Mus musculus: one gene and its partners. The protein of the gene in region 3 interacts with the protein of the main gene of each other region in a biochemical or structural test. Links are inferred from orthologs where the notes say so. Each region holds a gene or a part of one and is shown on either strand. Other genes may lie near its edges.

Region 1 (2,919 bases), on a different chromosome or scaffold from region 3:
ACAAGTTAAATTCTGAGACATTAAAATCTGATTCAATAGTCTTATAAAAACACTTCTTAAAAACCTTTAGATTTTCCACTGGGAATGGTTAAGAGGTTTAGTTACTGGTGACTAACTAAAGTACTCTATCTGCTAGGCCTTACCATAGACTAGAGTTAGTTCTCCTTTCTGCAGGTGAGGGTGGGATGCTTTTCATAGTCTGAAGATCTGTTGATCCAGGATTACTCTTTGTAGAACCTTTGTATGGCAGTAAAAGAGACTAGAACATATTACTGTTTCGGAAACTGAGATTTAATATATTACTGCTAAGATCCCAATAATTAGGGGTTTTGTTTGGGGAAAATTGTTCATTTGAAGTCTGGTTATTGTATTTTATTTCTTAGTGCTTAGCATTGAACCTAGGGACTTTTCCAGAGTATGGCCAAGGCAGTGAGCGATATTCCCAACCTGAAAATACACCAGGCTAAAGACACACTTATTTAACTACCTCTAACAGGGATACGAAAGGACCTTTCCCTCCCGTATGTATTCTTTAGGTAGCAGAAGTATAAGAGCAGGTACTTTGTTGGGGGGTGAAATATGTTCCCCACCCCTCACTTCCCTTTACCTTGTTTCTGAAGGCTAATAGTTCTTTAGCCCTTTGCTATTGTGGTCCTTACTTATTAGTTATGTGTAAGTGCTTCACTTGTTGATGCCTTTGCATATGAATTTAGTCTTCTAGAAAGATAAAGAGAACCACCCAGTTTGCACAGGGTAATCTAACTCCCTTAGTGCTTACCACTTAAATGTTTCTCTTTCTAGCTTCAAAGGAATATTTTGGCATCTAATCCCAGAGTCACAAGATTCCACATTAACTGGGAAGATAATACAGAAAAACTGGAAGATGCAGAGAGCAGTAACCCAAATCTACAGTCCCTTCTTTCAACAGATGCATTACCGTCAGCGTCAAAGGGATGGTCCACGTCAGAAAACTCACTCAATGTTATGTTAGAATCCCACATGGACTGCATGTGACCACGTGCCATCCCATTAGTACAGATTAAGCTATTAAAAACAGAACTATTTCCCTGAAGTTCCGTAAGTACATAGTCAACGTGAAATGTGAAGAATTTGTTTAAAAACATCCTGTAGAAAGTTTATAAGAAAAACCAGTATTTGAGCAAATTGTGGATTATAAATACAACTATTTTTAAGTACTTTTTTCTCTAATGTGTTATTTTATTTGTTCATGAAACTAATCTGATTAAAGCATATATATTATTTTCTTCTCTTTTATATGTAATTAAAGCACTTATATCAAATTATTAGACCAGGTTGTAAAGGTGTTGTTTTAGCCTCTTGGACAATAAGATTTACTAGCTTTTAAAAAAACAAAGTTTACTTCAACTAAAATGATTTATTCCTGTGAAGATAGTGTCCTTTTAATTTGAGGAGAAAACTTCCATTCTGTAGTAAAAAAGATCACATTAAAATGGGATTTGAAGTCAATTATATGCCACCAGGGTTTTTCTAGGCCACCCCAGTGCATCTTACCACAACTTGTGTTACACCAGACTTCTAGTTTTTATATAACAAATGCAGCTGCCTTTGAAGTCCCTCTGACTATGGTGTATGCTTCCTTACATCTAAAACTGGGAAACCACGACCATAAATCATTGTCCAGAGATTTCAACATGGCAAGAGCAAATACAAGTTCTCTAAAGTGTAAGATTACATTAAAATGGTTCAGATCTGCTCTTTCTTTCAGTTTACAGAAATGCCGAACTTACAAGGGTAATTTAGAAAGGCCTGGTTAGCTTTATTCTGGCTAGCTACTTTACGAAGCATGTCTTACCATTTGCAGTTGTATTACCCCATATCCTCTGGCTCTCATTAACGTGTAAGATCAGGGTATTTTCTGTAGTTGACATAATCTACATAACTTTTCCAGACTTCTTTTTTTCTTTCTGAAGAGCAGTTTTAGAAAGGATAAATGGGCCAAAAGTGTATTTTCTTTAATGAGAAGTAAATACTTCCTCAAAGTTCTGATCCATTACATTTACAGTACAGTATTTTCATTTGATTATGGTGATGATGCACAGGAGAGCCATGGGATGCAGGTTATGCGGTGCCTTCACATCTAAGCTTTTATACTGCACTTTTCAAAACAGTCTGAGGAAAAGGAAAGGGCATTTGTCTAAACAGACTCTTTTAAGTTGTATATATTTCTTGCTATTTTAAAAGGTAAATTTGTGCAACCAAGTCTTGTTAAATGTTAAACTTTGAAATTTAAGACTCCAGGTTATTACAGTATTGACCATTACCCAGTTCATAGATTTTAAAAATAAAACCTGACTACTAAAACGATTTGAAAAAAAAAAAATCTCATTTTGTCTAACTACAATTAGGAGAAAATGTTAAAACAAGAGTCCAGTGATCAAAACAGTAAGAATCAGTTTGTTAGAAATAAAACTAAATCTTCAAGTTAAGTGATTCACTGGAGTATTAAGTCTGATTATAAAAACTACTTTGTAATGAGATTATGTGGTTAAGGTTTTATATCAATTTTTAAATATATGGCCCATTGTCACAAAAGTTTGAGACATAAAAACTACTAGTTTTTATTATTTAAAAGTTACTGCTCTATAGAATTTAGTAAAAGAATAATAGAAACATTTAAACATTAACAACTAAGAAACTAGCATGCAGTGATTTTAGGCATTATGTCTGAATTATAGTTACAAGGAAGACTGCCCTCCACCCCATTTCTTATTTTTGAGATATGATCTCTCAACATAGCCTTGGCTGTCCTGACCTCTCCATGTAGACCAGGCTAGCCTTCAGCTCACAGAGATCCACCTGCTTCTGTCTCCTGAGTGCTGACATTAAAGGCGTTCTACTCCATACTCAGTGCTATTTCCTCTTTTTGATCAGTGTAAA
Region 2 (4,221 bases), on a different chromosome or scaffold from region 3:
TAAGAGTTGACTCCACAGTGAGACTTGCTTCACCTCCCCTGGTCCCTGGGTCTTGTGTTTTTTTCTTTAACCAGCAGCGCAGTAAGCTGCTAAGCCATGAATGGCCCTTCAAATACTCACCAATGGCCCTACTAGATAGCCTGCTCCACACTCGCATCTTTCTCTGAAAGTCTCTTTGGAGTTTGAGTGTCTGGTCTCCTGTCTACAGATGCATTGTATGCCCACAAACCCCATGCAGGCGACATTTCGTAAATCCTTTGCCAATGGTCTAACAGGGCAGCCATGCCTGCCACCCTGTGAGAATTCTGCTGTTTCTAGAAATCAGCAGAAACCTTGGAGGGCGGTAGGGGTTTGTTCTCAATGTAGCTAGGCAGCTCTCTGAAGCCCAGATTCATTGACATCTGCAGGGGAGGGATGCTGGGACACATCTGGTTGCTGACCTGAAGTTCTGATGCATGGATTGAGTTAGGGACCTAGCGTTCCAACATCCTCTAATGTCCTGGGTACCAAGGGTGACCTGAGCAGCTGTGAGCATTGGATGTCACTGTCCTGAGTGACTCTCTTGCTTAAAACAAGTTTACAGTCGCTCCATCTTAGGTTGGACTAGCACCTTTTTCTTGTCTTTTTATCCTTACTTCCAAATCCCAGAACCTACATCCCTACACACACACACACACACACACACACGGTTCCTAGGTAAGGACCAGTTAGATGTATCTAGACTGCTGTGGAAATATTTGCCTTAGGAAGACTGGCAATTGGACAGAGTCACTTGATTCTCCACCTTCTCCACCTTCCAAAGGATGTGAAACTCCCTGGGAGTCAGCTCTGAGTCCGCCTGTACTCTGCTCACCTTTGTATGCATGGTAGGTGTCCCCGGCTTGTCTGAATAATCCCCTGGTATGGTTTATCTCATGAACTGGAGACTTAGTGCGATCCCCATCCACTAGTCCCTCCCACACACCCAGAGCCAGGCTAATGGAGTCAAAAGATCCATGTGATAGCAAGGAACTTGTGTCCAAAGAAGCAGCGTCTACACAGAGGATTCCTGAGTGACAGAACGGGGAAGCTTCCTTGCTGGAGTCCGGAGCCTACTACTTCGTGACAACAGGCGTCCTAGGCCCTCCAGCCAGCACCTGTGGTCTCAGCTCCAGCTTCAGTCCCAGAACACAGAGATCCACCTCAGGCCTAGTCGGGGACAGGTTCCAGGGCTCAAGTTATCCGGTGGTTCTGGGCGATGCCATTTAGACCTCTCTTGCCAGGTCCTGCTCTTCAGATTCCTGAAGCAATAAAGTCCAGAGAGCAGCGGTGCGGGAGCGTAGGGCGGTGACGAGCAAAGCCCCGCCCCACCGCTCCGAGGGCTGCCCTGCCCCCTGGGTCCCCGCGTGTCCCCCGCCCTCCCAGTGGCGCGCGTTTACCTGCTTTCAAGCACTGGGAGGCGGGGCGGGAGCGGGGTGCGCGCCCGTCCCCGGAGCAGCCGCTGTCAGTCACCGCCGCTGCGCGCCAGGGAGGACCAGCCTCTGGCTCAGGCGGCCTGAGCTTCACGACCCCGGAACATAGTATCCGCGCCCCAGCGACCCCTAGCCCAGCGTTGGGTCCCATCCGCCGGGATCCCGGGATCCTGGGCCCCTCTTGGCCTCCGAGCAGCAGCCAGCACCAGTAAGTGATCATTAGCAGGGACGCGAGGGGCAGCCCTGGTGCCTTTGTCTCGGGGCCCCTGCGAGCGGGAGACCCCGGTACGGAATCTGACTCCTTGAGAGGCGAAAGAAGGGGCCTTCTGTGAGGGCAGCAGAACTCTGTTTCCCTTCTTCAAGGCCAAGAGTGTCTGGGTCACACCTGACCAGAGGTGCAGGTGGCCCGGCAGGTGGCAGCTAGGCGACCTCCGGGACCCGATACCACGTCGACAGCCCCGATCTTTCTTAGGAAGGGTGGACGCGAGTATAGACTCAGGTCCACACCAGTGGGGACTGGAAGCCTGGGGGTATACAGGGGTGGTTTCCAGCTAGCTCTTGGGACTCCGGGGTCGCTGAAACTCGAGAGGCCTAGGCTTGGTGAGGGGAGGTGGCGGAGGAGTTTAGAGGGAGGAGGTGACCTCTGTCTAGAGAGACCGCCCTCAGCTACGGAGAGGGGTCTGATGGGCTCTGAGGCACACTAGGGTCCATCCAAGCCTGCGGTGCCTGCTGATCACACACCTGCTGCCCAGTGGGCGATCCCTGCCCTGCCCTTCCCCACGAGGAGAAGCAGTTTCCCTTTGAGCAGAGGGCGGTGACAGGCACTTGTTCAGGCTTCCGCCTTTCGGGGCCTGTCTCAGGCTCCTAGGCCCTTGGGCGCCGCGCGTAGCCCCCAACCCACCTGCGGCCACCTGCTGGCACTGGCACTGAGTCCGATCTTCCCGCGGTAACTTGATCTCCTGGTCCTGCCTAAGCGCAGGGTCCCAGTGGTTCCCGGGGGAGGGGGGGTGCGGGGGGGCAGTCCTCGTGTTCTGCTATGGTTTGTTGTAAACTCTGGTTTTTAGGGCTTGTATGAACCGCGCGTACCCGGTTTGGGATTTTGAGGTGGTAGTCCAGATCCATGTTTGGAACGCGGAGCAAAGCTTGGACAAGGGTTTGGTTCTCCGAGGTTCTCCTTGCTGTTTGCTAGCTAGACAGCTGCCGATCCACACAACATACGAGAGTGGATCTCTGTGTTGGGGAAACTCTTGGAACTGGATTGTGGGAGACAAACATCAGGCAGACATCATCTTTGCCTACACACACACACACACACACACACACACACACACACACACACACACACCTAGAACGACTTTTTCAGAGAAAGTGAGTTCTCATTTAAGACCTGTGGTTTGGGAGAGTCCGTCTCGCTAAGTTCAAAGGGCCACCCACCCGCTCACTCCCCATGGCTCTCCCCAATAGAGCTTACCTGCCAACACCTCTGGGGTGGGTGTGAGCACTCGGGGTCGGGGACAAGGCCATCCCAGGCCAAAGCACCTGAGAACCAGAGGCCTGTAGTGCTCTCTCAGACAACTGTACAGGTGCACACCAGTCCAGGTTGGGGTAGCCATCCCCAGCTAGATTCTCAGAAACCCGAAAGAGAAGATATGTTTTAAAATAATCATGAATGTGAGATGCAACTCCTACGGATTTAATGTTCTGAAACGACTGCTTTTTATCAACTTGAGATTTAAAAAACAAAAAACCTAGTATGCTCAAATCCATTTTGTAAATCCATTTAATGCCTGTTTAGATGTGGAGTGTTGGTTCTTTGTGGAAATGGTGTGTGTGTGTGTGTGTGATTTTTTTTTTTAAGAAAAAAAAAAGATGTGTGAATACGGAAAAAGAACCTAGCCCTGTCTTTCAAGGATGTTCCAGTTTAGACTGATTCTGGAGTGCTGAAGCTCATTTTCTTTCCTCTTCCGGTTCTTTGTGATTTTAATCTTTAGATTACATTTATTTACGTGTGTGTGTGTGTGTGTGTGTGTGTGTGTGTGTGTGTGTGTGTGTGAATATGTGTGCAGGTCAGAGGATGACTTGTAAAGAGTAAGCTTTCTTTCCACAATGTGGGTTTGTGGGTTGCAGGGATCAAATTCAGGTCGTTAGCCTTGGTGGCAAGTGATTTACCCACTGACCCATCTCACAAACCCCTCTCCAGGTTCTTCCAAACAAAGTCAGCAGCTGCCTCCCCAGGAGCAGGTGGCGGTGGCTGACCTCGCACTAAACAGCAGGCTCCCTGCTGAGAGCTGTTAACTACTGCATTTACAGCTTAACGGCCTTGGGAGAGCTCCCTCCTTCCTCCCCCCTCCCCTTCATTACATTAGTTGCCTCTCAGGCACTTGGAGACTGAAGAGCCACCTGGCCCCATTTGACCCCCTCATGGCCACTTGAAGGTGCCCCCTTCAGATAGAGATATGGCTCTGTGGTTAAAGACACCTTACTGCTCTCGGAGAGGATGTAGTTCAGTTCCCAGCACCCACATCAGTTGGCTCACACCTGCTTACAACTCCAGCTCCCAGGAATCCAGCATCATCTTCTGTGACTCTGAGGACATCAGCGCTCACAACATGCACGTACCCTCATACATACATACATACATACATACATACATTACCAAAAACAAAAATGTAAGCCCACCACCAGTGAATGACCATGCCTATTAAAGCATCCAGTCTCTGTCTCCAGGTGACCTGACACCCAACCTTGTTGTTATCCCTTCCTTGGCTTC
Region 3 (3,654 bases):
CGCAGCCCAAAGTTGCCTGTTACTTCAGGTCTGACGCGCGTGCGCACACACATACATACAAACACAATCAAAAAAATAACTTTTAAAAATTGTAAACATTACTAACTTCACAAGATTCTGAAATGCAAAACCATCTGTCCACTGTTCTGTAAAGGAAGCGCCGTGTCTAACTGTGGTAAAGTGCCCAAGGCGCAACCGATCTTGCATACTCTTTTCTCTGCTAGACAATTTTTCTTGTGTACTCTGAAAATGAGAAAAAAAATCATTATAGTCATTCAAAATTTTCCATCCATCCATCTATCCATTCATTCATTCATTCATTCATGATACAGGGTTTCTCTGTGTAGCCCTGGCTGGCCTAGAATCTACTCTGTAGACCAGGCTGGCATTGAGCTCAGAGATTCATCTGCCTCGGCCTCCCCAGGGCTGGGATTAAAGACATGAGCCACCACCGCCAGGTTATTCATTCAGATTTTAAAAGCATGAAAGGAAGAGCAAACTACTACTAAGGGAAAAGAAAATTTAGTAATAACTCACCTTTTCAATAAGTAGTTTCTTGCTCATAGATATGCACTTATTTAATCGTTCTTTGTATTTTTCAAGTAATTTCTGTTGATCATCTATTTGCCGCCTGAGATCACAGTTGGCCTACAACATGAGTAGAAAATGAAAGGTCTAGAATCAGTATGTATGAAAATCTTAGTGATTGTTTTGAATAAATTAAATAGATGAGATAAACAACAATAGTCTATTTACTATCAAACATTAACTGCATAGTAGAAAGTACCAAAAATTTACACACACATTCTGGACATTTATGTGTATATTCTAAGGTATACATTTTTGGCTGTATCACCTGAATCTAAGCTCAGTTCCTTTATTTGTAAATAAGAAGTATAACCTAGTTTAAATGTGTAACATATGTGTAACACATGTAAGAGGAAATGTGAATTTCTTCTTTTCCACTGCCAGATCCTCTCAAACATGTTCTGTACTAGGTGTAAGGACAACACTGTCATTTGCTGACCCAATGAACTCCTTTCACCACCCTTCCTTGAACAGGATACAGGTTCTGTTCACTCTGCGGGTTGCTATTACTCAAAGAGGAGACTTCTCTCTAACTCCAGGGAAGTCTGACTAGCCTATCACTACAGGAGGAGAATCGCGTCTGTGGCCTGCTGAGATACCCCACACCTCAAATATTCTGAGTCAGGTCTGAAGGAAAGCCTAGCAACTTCACTTTCTCAGTCAACGCCGCTGCTAAACACTAAACACTGAGACCCCAAGCATCATTGCATCCTGCAGAAATCAAACCGTGTGATACTTTTAAAATGTTGGGAGAAAGTAAATGCCAACTTAAAACTACATGGTCAATAAAACTGCACATCAAAAGCAACAAAGAGAGACTTAGCACAAACAGATCCTCACTTTAGAACAGACAAAGCCTCAACCTGGTTTGAAAACCAGTATGGATGTTTAACTTGAACAACTGACCTCAAAATTTCCTTAAGATTCCAGATAGCCAAAACAAAGAGCACTTGTTCAACTGCACATCAAGGGTGTTCTCATGGTGTCTCCCCTCTACTCGTGTGTGTGTGTGTGTGTGTGTGTGTGTGTGTGTGTGTGTGTGTGTAGTGTAGAATATAGTATAGCTCAGGCTAGTTTTAATCTTATAATCCTGCTGTCCTCCTCCTGCCCCCAGTGTACTGGGTTTATGGGCATGTACCATGTATACCATATGTCAAGATTTAATATAAACCCACGGTAATTACAATCACTCTAATTTTCTTCTTGCATAATAAAGGAAAAGATGCTTAATTCTAAACTGATATGAACCTAGTCAAAAGACTACAGTTCCCAGCTTCTCTTACAAAGAAATTTAAGTAAATTCAGTAGAATATTCAAAAAGGATACATAGAGAATTGTACCTTTTGTGATTCTTTTCCCTGGTTATCTGCTTAGAACACAGACACCGTGACTGTGACTATTTTTATTTTGTACCCACAGGTGACCTTCAAGATGGAAGCCATGCACTGAAGACAGGAAGCAAGCTGCTGAAGGAGCCAAGGTCTCATCAAATTGTGGGGCAATTAAATCTAGGTGGCTGCCACTTCTGTTCTTTCTTAAAATACACTTCTATCTCATGTGAAGTACTGTTGTTTATACTGTGTTACTAACAAAGACAACTGCAAAATGCTAAAATAGTGTTTCAGGATTGATCCAGTAATACACAAAACAGAACATGGACATAAGAAAGAAATAGGTATACTGCATATGGAAATAAGATTTAATGGTAGAGCCTTAAGTATAGAAATGAACTTTTTAATTCAACTGGATAATTGGTTATATAGGAAGAAATTAAAATGAGCCTCGTTTTTCAGTAAAGAACATCTTTAGGCTCTTACAATCAGTTCCTTTGGAATCTTTGATAAAGTATACACAAACTATAAACTATAAACTGAAGATAATTAACATGTAAAAACAATCATCAAAAAGAAAGTATGATGTAATGAAAATACATTCCACAAAGTGGAAGAAGCCAACATTTAAACAAACAAACAAAAAACCTAAAAACTAGAAAGCTAGGAAACATCCAGTCTAATAAAAAGTGAAAAGGTGGCTATGGATACGGTCCAGAGGTGTGGCACTTTGCCTAGCATATGGGAGGTCCTGGGTTTGTTTGATCACCAGCACCAACACCAACATACACACATGCATGCACACACACAACTATAAGGAAAGAAAAGTAATGATGAAGACATGTATCATTGATGCCAGAAGCGTAGGTTAGCAGTAAGGGCTGTGACAGAGCAGTGTTCCAAGGTTACAATGGAGTCACAGATGTTGGTGCTATTAAGCTGTGGTGCTACTGGTTCACAGTGTTGGCTTGAATTACAATAGTTGGTAGAAGCTCTTAAAATTATCAACATCCAAGCTACATCAATTTAATCAGAACTCCATGGGAGAGAATTCAAAATTAGTACTTCCATCAGGTAGGTGATCCTAAGGAATTGCAAGGGAAAAGAAATCTTGCTTTATGCCTCACTCACATTCTAAGTATACTTTTAGGAATGTTTTTAAATGTATTGTGTATGTGCATGCATGATGTATGGATGCACAGCCATGGCACGTGTGTGTAAGCTGCAGCTTTGTGAGGTCAGTTCTCTCCTATGTTTATGTAGGTTCTGGAGATCAAATTTAGCAAACACTTTTATCTGCAAAGCCACTTGCCAAATACCTTAGATTTATTTACTTACATACTTTCAGATTTACTTTCTGTGTATATGAGTGTTTTTGCTGGCATATATATCTGTGAAGCACATGTATGGAGTGCCCAAATGGGCCGGAAGAGCAGTTCAAATTCCCTTGCCAACCCTAATTTATTTTTAAAAATAAAGCTTCCATTAAAAATCTTACAGGATTATGGCAGTAATGGTATCTGATGTCAGGCAGAGAGCAATAAACTATTCAACAGGAAATGGGTTATCTGACTAGAGGTAGATGACCAAATAAAAAATTATAAACCTACTTCTATTTCTTCAACAATTTCTCAATTTCACACTCAGAGAGCTAATCACCTATTCTGACTTTAAAGTGGGTATTTTCAACATTTGTCTTTTATTTTAACTAGGAGTGTGTATATCTGTATACAGA

The links.
Region 1: of the proteins of Tlk1 (region 3) and Asf1a, one has a biochemical effect on the other in vitro, tested with the Homo sapiens proteins (3 studies listed by BioGRID). The link is inferred for Mus musculus from reciprocal best matches to the Homo sapiens genes TLK1 and ASF1A.
Region 2: the proteins of Tlk1 (region 3) and Mbp form a complex in vitro, tested with the Homo sapiens proteins (2 studies listed by BioGRID, with this or other methods). The link is inferred for Mus musculus from reciprocal best matches to the Homo sapiens genes TLK1 and MBP.

What each region holds. Positions count from the first base shown.
Region 1 is NC_000076.6:53,606,864-53,609,782, forward strand, and holds the end of Asf1a (histone chaperone ASF1A), read left to right. Parts: intron 1-269; exon of another isoform or gene 270-801; coding exon 802-1,014; 3' UTR 1,015-2,119; coding exon of another isoform or gene 2,120-2,151; 3' UTR 2,152-2,362; downstream 2,363-2,919. UniProt on the Homo sapiens protein: Histone chaperone that facilitates histone deposition and histone exchange and removal during nucleosome assembly and disassembly.
Region 2 is NC_000084.6:82,473,736-82,477,956, forward strand, and holds the start of Mbp (Golli-Mbp), read left to right. Parts: upstream 1-1,387; 5' UTR 1,388-1,659; intron 1,660-2,239; exon of another isoform or gene 2,240-2,397; intron 2,398-4,221. UniProt on the Homo sapiens protein: The classic group of MBP isoforms (isoform 4-isoform 14) are with PLP the most abundant protein components of the myelin membrane in the CNS. They have a role in both its formation and stabilization.
Region 3 is NC_000068.7:70,745,397-70,749,050, forward strand, and holds part of Tlk1 (serine/threonine-protein kinase tousled-like 1), read right to left. Parts: intron 649-3,654; coding exon 538-648; intron 244-537; coding exon 107-243; intron 1-106. UniProt on the Homo sapiens protein: Rapidly and transiently inhibited by phosphorylation following the generation of DNA double-stranded breaks during S-phase. This is cell cycle checkpoint and ATM-pathway dependent and appears to regulate processes involved in chromatin assembly.